Linked DNA regions of Diceros bicornis minor. The protein of the gene in region 1 binds, or shares a complex with, the protein of each later gene. Links are inferred from orthologs where the notes say so. Each region holds a gene or a part of one and is shown on either strand. Other genes may lie near its edges.

What was found. Proteins that work in one complex are often made in the same cells at the same time.
Region 2: the proteins of GHRHR (region 1) and GHRH are in contact, whole or in part, in a cryo-EM structure (PDB 7CZ5), measured with the Homo sapiens proteins. The link is inferred for Diceros bicornis minor from reciprocal best matches to the Homo sapiens genes GHRHR and GHRH. Residues at the interface, in NP_000814.2 of Homo sapiens: Leu119, Ala120, Glu122, Glu123, Phe126, Ser127, Val129, Lys130, Tyr133, Val179, Lys182, Leu186, Phe187, Asp190, Thr192, Asp193, His194, Cys195, Phe197, His210, Thr213, Phe217, Ala271, Cys272, Asp274, Leu275, Asp276, Trp282, Ile285, Ile289; in NP_066567.1 of Homo sapiens: Tyr32, Ala33, Asp34, Ala35, Ile36, Phe37, Thr38, Asn39, Ser40, Tyr41, Arg42, Val44, Leu45, Gly46, Gln47, Leu48, Ser49, Ala50, Leu53.

The regions. Positions count from the first base shown.
Region 1 is NC_080742.1:55,225,050-55,232,717, forward strand, and holds the start of GHRHR (growth hormone-releasing hormone receptor), read left to right. Parts: upstream 1-4,668; coding exon 4,669-4,725; intron 4,726-7,392; coding exon 7,393-7,495; intron 7,496-7,617; coding exon 7,618-7,668.
Region 2 is NC_080758.1:22,802,341-22,808,860, reverse strand, and holds GHRH (somatoliberin), read right to left. Parts: upstream 2,635-6,520; coding exon 2,555-2,634; intron 2,223-2,554; coding exon 2,118-2,222; intron 646-2,117; coding exon 522-645; downstream 1-521. UniProt on the Homo sapiens protein: GRF is released by the hypothalamus and acts on the adenohypophyse to stimulate the secretion of growth hormone.

The DNA.
Region 1 (7,668 bases):
TTATTTTTCTGTTGATATTCAATTATTTCAGCACTGTTTGTTGAAGACTGTTTTTTTTCCATTGAATTGCCTTTGCACCTTTATAAAAAACCAGCTGACTATATTTGTGTGGGTCTATTTCTGAGCTCTCTATCTTGTTTCATTGTTCCGTATGTCTATCCTTTTGCCAACACCACACTGTCATGATTACTGTAGAGATATATATATGTATTTCTTTTTGATGTTATTGTAAATGGAATGATTTTCTTAATTTCCCTTTCAGATTGTTCATTGTTAGTGTATAGAAAAACAACTGATTTTTGCATGTTGATTTTGTATTCTACAACTTTATTGAATTTGTTTATTAACCTTTTTTTTGTGTGTGGATTCTCCGGGATTTTCTACATTTAAGATCACGTCATCTGTGAACAGAGAGAATTTTATTTTTTCTTTTCCAGTTTGGGTGCCTTTTATTTCTTTTTCTTGCCTAATTACTCTGGCTAGAACTTCCAGTACTACGTTGAATAGAAGGGGAGAAAGCAGATACCCTGTCTCGTTCCTCATCTCAGGGAAAATGCTTTCAGTCTTTCACCCTAGAGTATAATGTTCACTGAGGGTTTTTCACATATGGCCTTTATCATGTTAGGGAAGGTCCCTTCTATTCTTAGAGTATTGCGTTTTTTGTCTTGAAGTGGTGTTAGATTTTGTCAAATGCTTCTTCTACATCAATTGAGATGATCATGTAGTTTTTTTCCTTCATCTATTAAAACTCATACAAAAATTACAATGAGATATCACCTCATGCTCGTCAGAATGGCTATAATTAACAAGACAGGAAACAACAAGTGTTGGAGAGGATGTGGGGAGAAGGGAACTCTCGTACGATGCTGGTGGGAGTGCAAACTGGTGCAGCCACTATGGAGAACAGTATGGAGATTCCTCAGAAAATTAAGGATAAAACTACCATATGATCCAGCTATTCCACTGCTGGGTATTTATCCAAAGAACAGGAAAACACCAATGTGTAAAGATACATGCACCCCGGTGTTCATTGCAGTGTTACTCACAATAGCCAAGACTTCGAAGCAACCTAAGTGCCCATCAAGGGACGAATGGATGAAGAAAATGTGGTATATATACACAATGGAATACTACTCAGCCATAAGAAACGATGAAATCCAGCCATTTGTGACAACATGGATGGACATTGAGAATAGTATGTTAAGTGAAATAAGTCAGAGGGAGAAGGTCAAATACCATATGATCTCACTCATAAGTAGAAGATAAAAATAACAACAAACAAACACATAGAGACAGAGATTGGATTGGTGGTTACCAGAGGGGTGGAAGGAAGGGAGGAGGGCGAAAGGGATGATTAGGCACATGTGTGTGGTCATGGATTGTTATTAGTATTTGGATGGTGAACATGATGTAATCTATGCAGAAATAGAAGTATAATGATGTACACCTGAAATTTATACAATGTTATAAACCAATGTTACTGCAATAAAAAACAAATTAATTAAAAATTAAAAAAAAATAACTCATACAAAAAACTATTTTGTGTATTTTATTTGGATTTCTTGTTGTTAAGGCAGGAGGAGAGTAAGTGGGTTCCCTGTTGCTCTGTTGGCTGGAAGCAGAAGTTCCTCAAATACGTTTTTTGAAATCTCTCCACGTTGATACGGATAGATTTGGTTCATCCTTTTAATTCTCTACTGTATTCCATTGTATGCATATATCACATTTTATTTAGCTGTTTCATTATAGTTGGACATTTGTGTTGTTTTCTGGTTTTTACTACATATTATAAACAATATTGCCCTCTGGGGCAAATACCCAAAAATGGAACTTATGGTTTATAGGTATGTTCATATATAGATTCAATAGATCACATCAAATTGCTTTTCAAAGTGGGTGTACCAGTATTCACTCCAATATGCACAGTATAAAAATACTATTTCCTCACAGTATTTTCCAAACATACTATCAGACGTTAATATTTTAGGCAATGTGGTAGGCTCTTTTCTCTCTTTCATTTTCATTTTCTTGAGTATTGGTGATGTTGAGCATTTCTTCATCTGTTTATTGGTCCTGTATTTCACTTATTTTCTGAATTGCCTATTTATATCCTTTGCTCACCTTTTTATTGTGTTTTATTATTGACTTGTAGGTATTTTTAAAACATATTTTTGATACCATGTGTTTATTGTCATAATTGGTCATAGATGTTTTTTTCAGTCTATAACTTGCTTGTAGTTTTATCTATGGTATCCTTTCTTGAATGTACATTTTTTTTTAATGTTGATGTGAACAAACATTAATCTTTTCTTAATGGTTTTTATTTTTTATATAAGAAAGTCTCCTTTCTTCTAAGGTCATAAAACCAATTTCCATTATTGTTTTATAGGGCTTTAAATCTTCTAGAATTTATATTTCGTAAATGTGAGCTAATCTTCTTTTTCCATACAAAGAATCAATTGTTCTAACCTTATCTGCCAACAGTCTTTCCTTGTTGCATGCTATCGTTGATGACTGTCCACTGTGAGCTAGGCTCTGTATGAGCTACTTTATGTGCCTTTCCTTATCTACTGATCCCATCAACCCTATAAGGAAGGTATCATTCCCATTTTTCAGATGGGGAAACTGAGGTTTAGAAAGGTTAAATAACTTGCCCAAGGTCACACAGCTGGCAAGTGGTAGAGACAGAATTTGAACCCTGAGTAGATGCAGAGATAACGAGAGATGGGAGTTCAGTGGCCCTGGCCTATTCAGAAGGGACAGTGAGGCTGGGGGATCCTTGGGGAACATGAACAGGATTTTGGAACAGTGTTTCTCAAACTTAGTCTTATTGACCTTTGGGGCTGGATAGTTCTTTATATGGCTGTGGGGCATACCTGTGCACTGTAGGATGTTCATCAGCATCCCTGGTTCCCATCCATTAGATACTATAGCACCTTGCCAAGCTTCCTCCCCACTCCTGACTCCTGGCTATGACAATGAAAACTAGGCATTGCTGAATGTTCCCTAGAGAACAAAATTGCTTCCTGTTAAGAATCACTAATTTAGATAGTAATAGTTATTATTGCATATCAATGTCAATTATTAACCATCATTAAAGCTAATGACATTGATACTAATTATCAACAGTGATTAATCGTGATATTTATCCTTGGGCTGTTGCCTCTTTGTAGCTGGAGGACAGGAGATTCTAGCTTTCCCTTTAAGTTGCACCTTCTCCGTGTTCTGCCCTCCCACCCTGCAAACCCTCACTGGGCCTGCCATCAGGGGAACTCTGCTTCCTCCTGACGACTTGCTGAGCTCAGCGTCTGTGTCGCCCGCCCGCACTGTTCACCGCAAAGCACACAACAATACTTGTGCGAGGGCAGGCGGGGTCTGGGGATTGGGGTGGTTCATGCTTTGTTTTCAAAATATTTTTCTCCAACACTTCATTGGCGATGAATACAAATGGAAAAAGAAAGCCCTGCTTATGTAAAATGATTCCTCAATCCAGATGTGGCGGGGGCGGGGAGCCTTCATCATTCATGATTCGTGTCAGGCTGTAAACACGTCTGTTGTCAGCAGCGTCCAGCCCAGCGAGCTCCGGGAATGCAGACCTGCCACAAATGTCAGCGCCGACCAGGCCCTGGGGCGTTCAGGGCCCTCGGAGATGAAATGTGAAAAATGCTGTACGAGATCCAGGGTAATTTAGAACGCCTGGCCAAATGGGATCCCACATTTTAAAGTCTAAACTATAATAAAAAAGGACCAGGTAATGAATGTTCAAAATAATTGGAGCGGCTGTGTAAGTCCTTTCGTGTCTGCTACTGAAAACAGCTGTCTTGGCCCGTTCAGGATGCCCCAGCCCCACGAATCCCCTTGCAAGCTGCCTATTCAGCCTCATTTTCCCCTCTTGCTGTGAGGACTTCTGGAGAGACTTTGACAAGCCCCACGTGAAGTCAGGGCCTTGTATCTGCAGATTCACCCTGCCATCCAGGCTGACGTCCTTGCCGGGGAAAGAAAAGAGGTCCTGCCGATATGACACCCTCTTGGCCAGCCTGTGCCGGTACTTAGTGATCACATCTCCTTTTCTCACTCATTCCTACCCTCCAGCCCCCTGACACCCTGTATCCACCTGCGCTGGCTACCCACAGCCCTGAGCCCTCCCTCCAGCCCAGTGGACGAGACTGGGATCACCAACCGAACTGGGGGCTCCCTGAGGGCAGGCCCAGGTCTTCCTCTTCTTCTTTGAGTCTCCTTCATTTTTGGGGGGCTGTCTCCAGTGTGGGCCAGCAGAGAGCAGGCTCAGAGAAGAAAATGGGAGAGAATATTGACCTCTTGGGGTAAGAGGTGTCCTGTGGCTGTCACCTCTCGGGGCTCTCTCAAGGACAGACACACAGGCTAAATTGCAGACAGAGTGGAAGGGAGTCTGGGGGAAGGAGTCAGCCCCTCCCTGCTGGGACATGGAGTCCCACCCCAGGGCCAGGGCTGAGTTGGGCATGGTGTCCTGCAATCCTGGTAAATATTCAGCTGTTTCTGAGCCCTATCCTGGCTCCTGCCTATGCAAACCACCACCCAGGAAGGGGAGGTAGAGGGTGTGATGCCGCGGCAGCAGCAGGGGATGGTGGGGGAGGGAAGAGGGCCGAGGCTCACTGAGGCTGCCTGAGGAGCCACTGCCGAGCCCCCGCCATGGACAGCAGGGCGTGGGGTGCCTGCATCCTCTGCTTGCTGAGCCTGTTACCCATCGTGAGTAGCCAGCCCAGACCTTCCTGCCTCTCCCGCTGGGCTCCAGGTCTGGCAGCCTCAGGGCCATACGAGGGTCCGGCTGGAGCCTGGTGGGGACCCTGCTACCCTTCCCCAGTGTAGGATCTCTCTCTACCAAGCAGGCGGCAGGCCGTGGCTTGGACAACTGATACCCGTGGCTCCCTCCTTCCCTTCCCTTCCCAGGCAGTCTGCTTCTCTCTGGGTAGCTCTGACTATTAAAATGTCCTTCCCGGGGCTGAGCTGAGTTCACCTCCCTGTTGCCTCCCCCAGGGCCTGTCTGTGCCCTTTGGGGGCCACAGAGACTCTGTCTGCCCCAAGACAGTGCCTCTGGATTGGGAGGCAGTCAGGTCCTTCCCTTCACATCCCAAGTCTCTCTAAGCTCTGCACCCCCATTTCTTCCATACACTCCTCCTCCAAGATCTCCAGACCCCTCCTTGTCCCCACGACCCCTGGAGCCTCACTCCCATTTGATTGCTGGGAGGCTCTTTTAAGAGGCTGTGGCCAAGGACTGAGTGGCCTGAGTGGTTAGTGGAGAACAGCTGCTCCTCTCCGGATTGAGGAGACTCTTCCTCTTATGATATGTCCTGGGGTTGGAGAAGCTTTTGGCAACCAAATATTGCTTGGAGGCCTAGACTGTTGGAGAACGGGGCGCCAGGACAGGGGCCCTCCCTGAATGTGCTGCAATTTCCCAGCATGTTCTCCAGGAGCTACTGCGAGTGATGCAGGGACCAAGATGGGAGGCACAAGGTGCTGGGTGGGCAGCCCCTGCTCCCGGGGGGCTCCCGGGCCCCACGTGGACTGAGGTCTCCTTCTTCCTCCACTGGCTTGCTGTGGGGGCGGGGCACCACCCCCGGGGCCACGCCTCCCAAGCACTGTGAGACACCTGCCCCCAGGGGCAGGGCTTGAATCCTGCACAGTGAACCTAGCTGTGTGACCTGGGGGCGTTCCTCACCCCTCCTGAGCCTCCCTTGTCTCTTGTAAAAGAGGAAATAATATCTGCTTGCCAGGGCTGTTGTGCATTGAGTGGGGTCTGATACGTCAAGGGCTGGGCATAAGGTACAATACAGGTAACTTCTGCTGCCCTCCCCTCCCCAGAGAGGGGAACCTCCTCACTCGTCTGTGTGCACCCCACGGGAAAATCACACTTTCTCTCTCTCACACACCCCCCAACACTACAACTTCCCCCAGCACGCACACCCCTGCTTCTATCATCACATCTCCTTCTCTGACTCTGACTTTCCTGCCTCCCTGTTATAAGGACCCTCGTGTCCACCCAGATAATCCAGGATAATCTCCCCTCCTCAAGATCTTTAAGATAATCTCCCCATCTCAAGATCTTTAACGTAATCACATCTGCAAAGTCTCTTTTGCCATGCAAGGTAGCGCATTCACAGGTTTCAGGGATTAGGATGTGGACCTTTTTGGGGGGGGGTGAGTTATTCTGCCTACCAAGGTGCTCTACGCAGAATTGCTCCCAGGCGGCAGGAGTGCAGGTGCGGGAGGAAAACAGGGAAGGAGGAGAGGCCACCACACGGACACGTTATGGAGTCAGCCACCTCCACGAGCTCTTCTGAGGACTCCTGTGTAAGGTGTCTCACAACTTACTGCCATGAGACGAAAAGAGGAAGCATCCCTCCAAACCTCCCTCCCTCCTTCCTTCCTTCTTCCTTCCTACTTTCCTTCCCTCTTTCCTTCCTTCCTTCCTTCCCTCTGTCCTTTCTTCCTTCCTTCCCTCTGCCCTTTCTCCTTCCTTCCTCCTTCCTTCCTTCCCTCTGTCCTTTCTTCCTTCCTTCCTTCTGTCGAGGCAAATAATTCATAAACAATCTATAAATCAAAAGTTAGGGTGAGTTTATTATGAGCCAACCCTAAGGACCATATAGCCCAGGAGAGTCCCTTCACAAAGGAAGGAAACACTCCAAAGAAGTGGGGTGTACAGAGTGGGTATATACCTTCTTGGAACAAAGAGCATACGTCACATAGGACGGGAATATCCCTTTTACAATAGTCACGAGATTGCTTTGCCAGCACAGCAGATCAGTGAACATAGAAGGTCGGTTGTCACAAGGTGAGCACAGCAGGTCAGCAATCAATCCTTAGTTTAGGGAGAGATGCTTATCCTTAAAGAAATGCCAATGTGGGGGAAGCTACATCCCTATCTTTAAGGGTTTCATTCTTGTCTTTGGGACATAGTAAATACTTAAAGCAAATGTGCAATGCATGCTCAACAGGCTATGTCAGGCCCTTTTGGAAAAACAAGGTCAGGCTGAATTAGTTTTACACCAAATGGCTTCCTCATATACTCCAGTATATCCCATGGCTTGTCATTTATTTATCACTTCCTTTTCCTTCCCTCTGTCCTTCCTTCCTTCCCTCCCTCCTTCCCTCCCTCGTTCCCTCCCTCCTGCCCACCTTCCTTCCTTCCTTCCTTGCTGAGTGGTGAGGTTGGGGAGCTCTTCTTTTCTTCCTTCCCTCCCTCCCTCCCTCCTTCCTTCCATCAAGTACACCTGTAAGCGCCATGAGCCAGGCCCGTGCTTGGGAGCAGGGGTGCAGAAATGAATCAGGCTTTGTCTCTGTCCTCAGGTCGTTTGGACCAGAGAACCCAGAAGGAGCACCCTACTGGCTGGGCTCATCATTAACTCTCTCTTGCAGGTTCTGGGCCACGTGCACCCAGAGTGTGACTTCCTCACCCAGCTGAGAGAGGAGGAGAGGGCGTGTCTCCAGGTGGCAGAGGAGATGCCCAACGCCACTCTGGGTATGGCGCTTAGGAGGGAGGAGGCGGCTTCTCAGATTCCTTGATCTCCCCAACCTCACCAATCAGAATGTTGGAGGGCCTGTCCCCTGGGCTGAGTCTACTCTGCTCCCATCTCTATCTAGGATGTCCTAGGACCTGGGATGGGCTGCTGTGCTGGCCGATGGCAGGCTCTG
Region 2 (6,520 bases), on another chromosome or scaffold:
TCTTCCCTGTCCCAGTAGGAGTGTGAGGGTCAGGGAGATGGGAATGACTGTCATGCCCCTCTCTCCCTCTCATGAGGGCTGCCCACACTCTCTCCCTGAGGGTGTTGGGAGGGGCTGGTCTTCCTTTGGGTTTATAATTTTGTGAATGTGGCAAGGGATCCAGGGCATGCCTCTCAGATCATCTGCATCAGAAACCCCTGGGACACTTGTTAAAATTCAGGTTCCAGGTCCTATCCCAGAACTATCAAGTAAGTAACTTTTTCGGTCACAGATGAGCCTGGCCTCTTGCAACACGCTGGAAAATACAGCAGTGGCTAAGATCCAGTCTCTATCAGGCATTTTCTTCCCTTCCTCCAGTTCTTGATGTGTGTAAGGTGGGACCTTGTTCCCAGTTTGCTTGGCAGAGCCCCATGTCTTTGGAAAGGAGGAGATTCTTTCCTTTTCTTGGCAACACACAGGGAAGGAATCCTCTTTGGTCCCTACACGTACACATGTGCGTGCACATGCACACACATGTATTCCTACCCCGGCTTCTGCTGCAGGGCCACCAGGATGCTCTCCAATGCCATCTGCTCTTGGTCCGCCCACATGTTGTCCACCTGACGGCCAAGCCGTGTCTTTGCTTCTTGCTCCTGGTTTCTCTCTCTGTTAGGTTAGAGAAAGAGAAACAGCTGTGGTTGCTATTTGGGTAGGATTTGGGGAGGCCTGGGAAAGGCCAGGACAAAGTGAGCAGAGCAGGGTGTGTCTCTGTGCCTATTCCCATGTCTGGTGCGGACACTTCCACCCAACCAAATTAGATTGAGCTGCTTTTAGCAAGGCAGTCTATACAGTAGTGAAGAGTATAGGCTGTGAAATACATATTTGCAAAATATCTCCCCACAGATTACTTATTCATTACAAAGGGAAAAATATTAACTTTACAGACGAGAACCCTGGCAGACACCATGTTAACCAAGTATCCAAGTTACCATCACCAATACTGGGACAAAGTGACATCATGTGCCTCCTGATACAATGCACTGAGAAGGACACAATGTCACTTCTGCGAATGTGAATTTGAATCTAATCCTGAAGAAACACCAAGTAAACCTGATATGAGGGACATTCTATAAATAGTTGGCCTTTACTAATCAAAAATGCCAGCGTCATGAAAGACTGAGGAATAGTCGCATATTACAGGAAACTGAAGAGACACGACAACTCAATGCACGCTGTGAGCCTGGACTGGATCCTGAATCAGGAAAATAAATAATTGTTCTAAAGGACATTTTGAGACAACTGGTGAAATATGAATATGGACTCTAAGCGATTATACTGTGATTATGTAAGAGCATGTCCTTCTGTGGCATGTTAGGAGACACACAGGGTAAAGGTCACACCTAAGGGTAAAGGTCATGATGACTGCGATTAACTCTCAAATGATTCAGCAAAATAATAATAATAATAATAAATGCCTACATATGTTTGTGTGTGCATGTATAGATCCATATCTAGGTATAGATATAGAGTAAGCAAATATGATAAAATATTAGGAATTGTTGAATATAGGGAAGGGTGTGTGGAAGTCCATTGTACTACTGCTGCAACTTTTCTATAAGTTTGGAATTTTTCAAAATGAAAACTACCAAATGTACAGGCTGTGGAGTCAGGCTATTTGGATCCCGGCTCTGCCACTCTTTGATGTATGTCGTCTAGAAGCTATTAACAGCTCTGTGCGATGCGGGTAAGAATCCCTACTTTGTAGGGTTGTTACAAGGAGCAGATAACAAACTAAGGGTAACGGCTAACACTACCAAGGGCTGACCGTGTGCCCAGCACTGGGCAGAGTGTGTGTAAATGTCCCAGGGCAGAGCCTTTGTTTCTACCACAGTCACAATCAATAGAATGGTAACTGCAGTCGGTATTGTTAGTGTTGGAGCCTCACATGGGGAGAAGCACATAGCATGTCTTCAAGGATCATTTCATGGTTAGAGGTAAGCTGAGGTTTGACAAGGGGGCCCTTCTGCTATGGCAAGTCCAGAAATGACAGAGGCTGTGCGAGGGAAGTGACAAAGTTTGGTCCCTCCAAACTCTGATGCATAGAAGGACAGGAGGAAATCACGAGAACTTCTGCTTACCCCTGCTGTCTGCTCATGATGTCCTGGAGTAGCTTGCGGGCAGACAGCTGGCTCAGCACCTTCCGGTAGCTGTTGGTGAAGATGGCATCTGCATACCGAGGCATTCTATATGGAAGGAGTCAGAGGTCAGAGGGCGGGGTGGTGCGGCCAGGCGAGAGGACAGCCAGGGTTGGGGCGGGCTGCGCTTACCATATCTCTGTAAGGTCCTTCTGTTGCCCTTTGCCTTGCTCATCCCAAGAGAGAGAGGGACCCCAGGCTGGGAGACCTCTCTGGAGCTCAGGGGCTGCCCCATCCCAGACGTGGTCAGTGGGGGCTGCCTGAGGATATAGCTGCGGGCCAGCTTGTGGCTCTATTCTGCACTCCTAAACTACCCCCCTGGGTGGCAGGGACGGCTTTGGGGCAGCAGGAATCCAGGCCCTGTGGGCAGGACTGCTTACCTGAGGGGCGGGGAGGGTGGAGAGCAGTGAGAGCCACTGCTGAAGGTGAGGATCACGAGGAAGAACACCCAGAGCAGCATCCTTCACTCCTGCAGTGGCACCTGGAAAATGGCAAGAGGGGAAGGTCAGGTGTAGGCCTAGCCACAGAGATGTTCTTTGCCGGCTGGGCCCAGCCGTGCGCTTGGCTCTGTACAAGCCTTGGTCCTTGTCATTTGAATGTCATGGGGTAGGAAAAAGAAGCCAGGCTCTGGAAGTCAGACAGACCTGGGTTCAAGTTCTGCCTCTGCCAGTCATTTTCTCCATCTGTCAAATGGGCATGAAAAACTACCCTGCTGACCTCATAGGGTTGAAGAGAAAATTAATGATCATGGGGAGACTGCCCCTTGCTATAAGGCATTATGTGTGGAATTCAGGCCTCAGCAAGCTAGGGGAGGAGCAAGCACTTTCCCTTAGTCCCCTAAGTCACCCCTCTCAGTGTGGCAGACAGCAGTGAGCGGGGCTGACGGCTCAGGCTCTGAGTCAGACAAATCTGAGTTCATATCCAGGCTCTGCCATCACAAGCTGTGTGTCCCAGGACAAGTGACTTCTCCTTTCTGGGCCTCAGTTTCCCTATCCCTAAAAGGGAGTCGATAACTATACCCACTGCATAGGGTCCTTGTGAGGATTAAAGGAGATGAGAGTAGCCTGGCACACAGGGAATTCTCCACAAACCTTTGCTGTGATACCTAATATCAGACCCACTCAGAGGGCAGGCTGGTCCTGTGTTTGTTACGGGTGGAGTTGGAGGGAAGGGAAGGCTTTAGATCTTGCTCCACATGCTTAGATCTCACCCGAGAGTCTTACCCCTGGCAGAGACCAGGAGCCTGGGAAGCCAGTGCGGCAGAATCAGCGCATAGATCATGTAATTACCCCTAATCGGGGCCTGCTGACAGCGTGCTCTGCAATTAGGGGAAGAACAGTCAACAGGGAAAAGAGCCCGCCTCGCTGTGGCAGGTATCTCTGCTGTCAACCCAGACCTGCCTGGTGTGGAAACAGGGTGACTTGGCCACCTAGGACTTGGGTCTTCCCATCTCCCATGGCACCCCCTCTCCCAGCAGGATATCTACTCCACGGGGAGACAGACCCACGCAGAGGCCCAGCCAGCCCCAGAGATGGGCAAGACCCCTCCTTCCCCATGATCACCCCACATCCTCCATTTCCTCTCTGGTCCTGCTGAGGGGTGATTTCCAGCAGGCAGGGCCAGTGCTGGCAGAATCCACCTTCCTTTTCTGGGCTCATTGGCCCTCTTAGGGCATTTGCCCCCTTCTCCCAGACACTGGGGTCTCGACTAACCCAGGGATGCCTTGAGACCGAAGGGAGTGTGCATGGGGACTGCTCAATGCGGCCTGAGAACCCCACACCTCCAGAGCTGGAGGGAACAGCCTTCCAGGCCTCCATCATCAGCACCTCCTTGATGTGCGCCCCCTCCAACCCCCTTCCCCCCAACAGATGATCCTGCAGTTCCTGCTCAAACACTTGCTGCCAGTGAGTAACAGTGAGCTCATTACCTCCAAGCCAGTCTGTCCTATTTCCAGGCAGCTCTTGTTAGAAAGTTTTTCTCATCATGTCAAGTCCAAATCCCCTTATCCTGCAAATACTTGTTAAGCTTCTACTCTTCTGGTAGAGACTGGGGCTAGAGAAAAGACGAAAACACGGTATCTGCCACCCAGGGCTGCCCCTTTGACATTCATCTGCTGTGCCACCCAGAGCTTCTGCCTTTCATCCACATGACAAGCCCTTAAACGCGTTTTGCATCTGACTCAGGCCTTTGCTCACCAGACCAAGGATCTTCAGTCTTCTGTCCTCACCACACCTATCACGTCTGGCTCCTCTTCTCCCCGCCTGGTCCAGGTTGCCTCCCTAGCAGTGGAATTTCCTAAACATGGAGATCTTTGGAGGCAAGGAGGGCCCCTTGACACAATCCCTGATTTTTCTGTCTCCCAGCTACAGCCTGGGCTTTCTTGCCTTCTTTGCTGCTGATCTTTTAAAAACCTGGGTGCATCCAGGTCCCTAATCATTTTACTCCCCTGCTCAGAAGCCCTTGGCCCCCAACTCTCTCCAGAGTGAAGCCCACGTCTCTGCTCCGGGCCTAAGCTCTCCCTCGGCCGCTCCTGCCCCTTCTCCCAGGGGTGGCACAAGTGACTCCCAGCCCCAGTGCCCTCCTGACCCACACAGCTCACCCGCGATACCTGCCCTGTGAAGCAGGTACCACGATCTTCATTTTACAGCCGAGGGAACGAGCCCAGAGGGGAGAAGAGCCTTTTCCACGGTCCTCCATCAAATTAGTTTCAGAGAGGGCACTTCAGAATGGGCTTCGCGATTCCCAGGCCAGCAGCCTTCCTCCTGCTCCGCGTGGCAGCCTCCCAGATACAATACCCTATTCACAGCACTCCCCATTCACGGGGCGCTTCAGAATTCATCACCTGCGCATGGGAAATGGTCTGAGAAAACGGAAAGCTTTTGCTCTTTGTCATTGGGTCTCTAGGGAAGAAAAAAAGGAGACAAACAGGGACAGCCGCTCGGCCAGCACCTTCCTGTGCACACTCAGTGGTTTTAGGGAGTTGACAGTAACCTGAGAGGAGGGCAGACTTTCTGGGGAGAGTCACAGTAAATACAGTGACTTCTGGCTCATCCAGAATGAGGCTGAGCAACGGCATCGTCTAGTCAACCGAGAGGCACCACATTTACCATAAACCATGAGCCCCAGCGATGGGTCAAGATGCCATTACAACCTCGGGGCCATGAGAACCTAATCCATAGGGTGGCAAAAATCCCGCTGGAGAAAGATGGGAAACAACAAGAATTATCCAGCTTATGGTGTGAAAAGAATAGAGGTTGGTCACCAAAGATAAAGTAGCAGTTGACAGACGTATTCCACGTGACCAATCTAGGGACCTAGAATTCACCGAGCTAAGTGTAGCGTGAACCCAACAACATCATCGACAACCCCTTGATGGCTCCGAAGGCATTTTAGAGTTTACCATCTATCATGATGAGTATCAGCTTCCCGCAGTGCTTACAGACGCATTCTGTGATTAGATAGATTTGAGATCATCTGGACTCAAGATCAATGGGCACTTGATCTACATCGGTTGGCACCTTCTGCCAGGCTTCATGCCAAGAAAGACACGACAATCCCGCAGATGCGCCTTCAGCTAACGGCAGGGGTCAGGTCTCAAGTGCCCAAGTGAGCAAGGCCACTTTTGAACACCTAGGAAAAAAAGTCTTTTCCCTTTCTTACATATTCTGCTTCGTAACGGAACACTAAAGCATTGGCATCCTGATCCACTTTTTAAACTGTTTCAGAAATAATGTTCCAAGTCAAAGGAGATCTAAGTTTTTAATGAGGAAGCATCTTGAATTGTCATTCAAAAGAGTGACACCTGGCCTCCTTCCAGAAAGGGTTTGAGGAGGTTTATGGTGAAAGACACAAATACTTCAGGACCATTAAAGCACAGATCAAGAGACCAGCGTGGGGGTAATGGAGCGCTCCAAGGGTAGATAATCGTGTCTAAAACCTAGAGTAAGGCGCACAGCTGCAATTGAGCAAGAAAGCAAAATGTTATCAATTTCCAGGCAATTACGTTGACTCGGTTCTGAGCCATAGAGGAGCGGTATTGATTTGCACGGCCCCTTGGCTCCTTTCTGATCCATGGCAGAGTCCCGTTGTCCATAGGAAAATCTACCCACCTCGTGTCTTGCCCCAGAGACCTGCCTGCACACCCTTGAAGGAGCACTGAAACCTCATCCACCTCTGACAGACACCTGGAACATGTCTCTCTGCCTGCCACTCCTCCAAGGGTTGAGATGCCACGTACCAGAGACAACCTCAAAATGGCGCCAACCACCAAAAGCATGTTCCAGAGCCCCTAACAAGGGATCTAAATGTACTCACCCATCCACGGGCAAAGAGGATGGCGGTGGGCC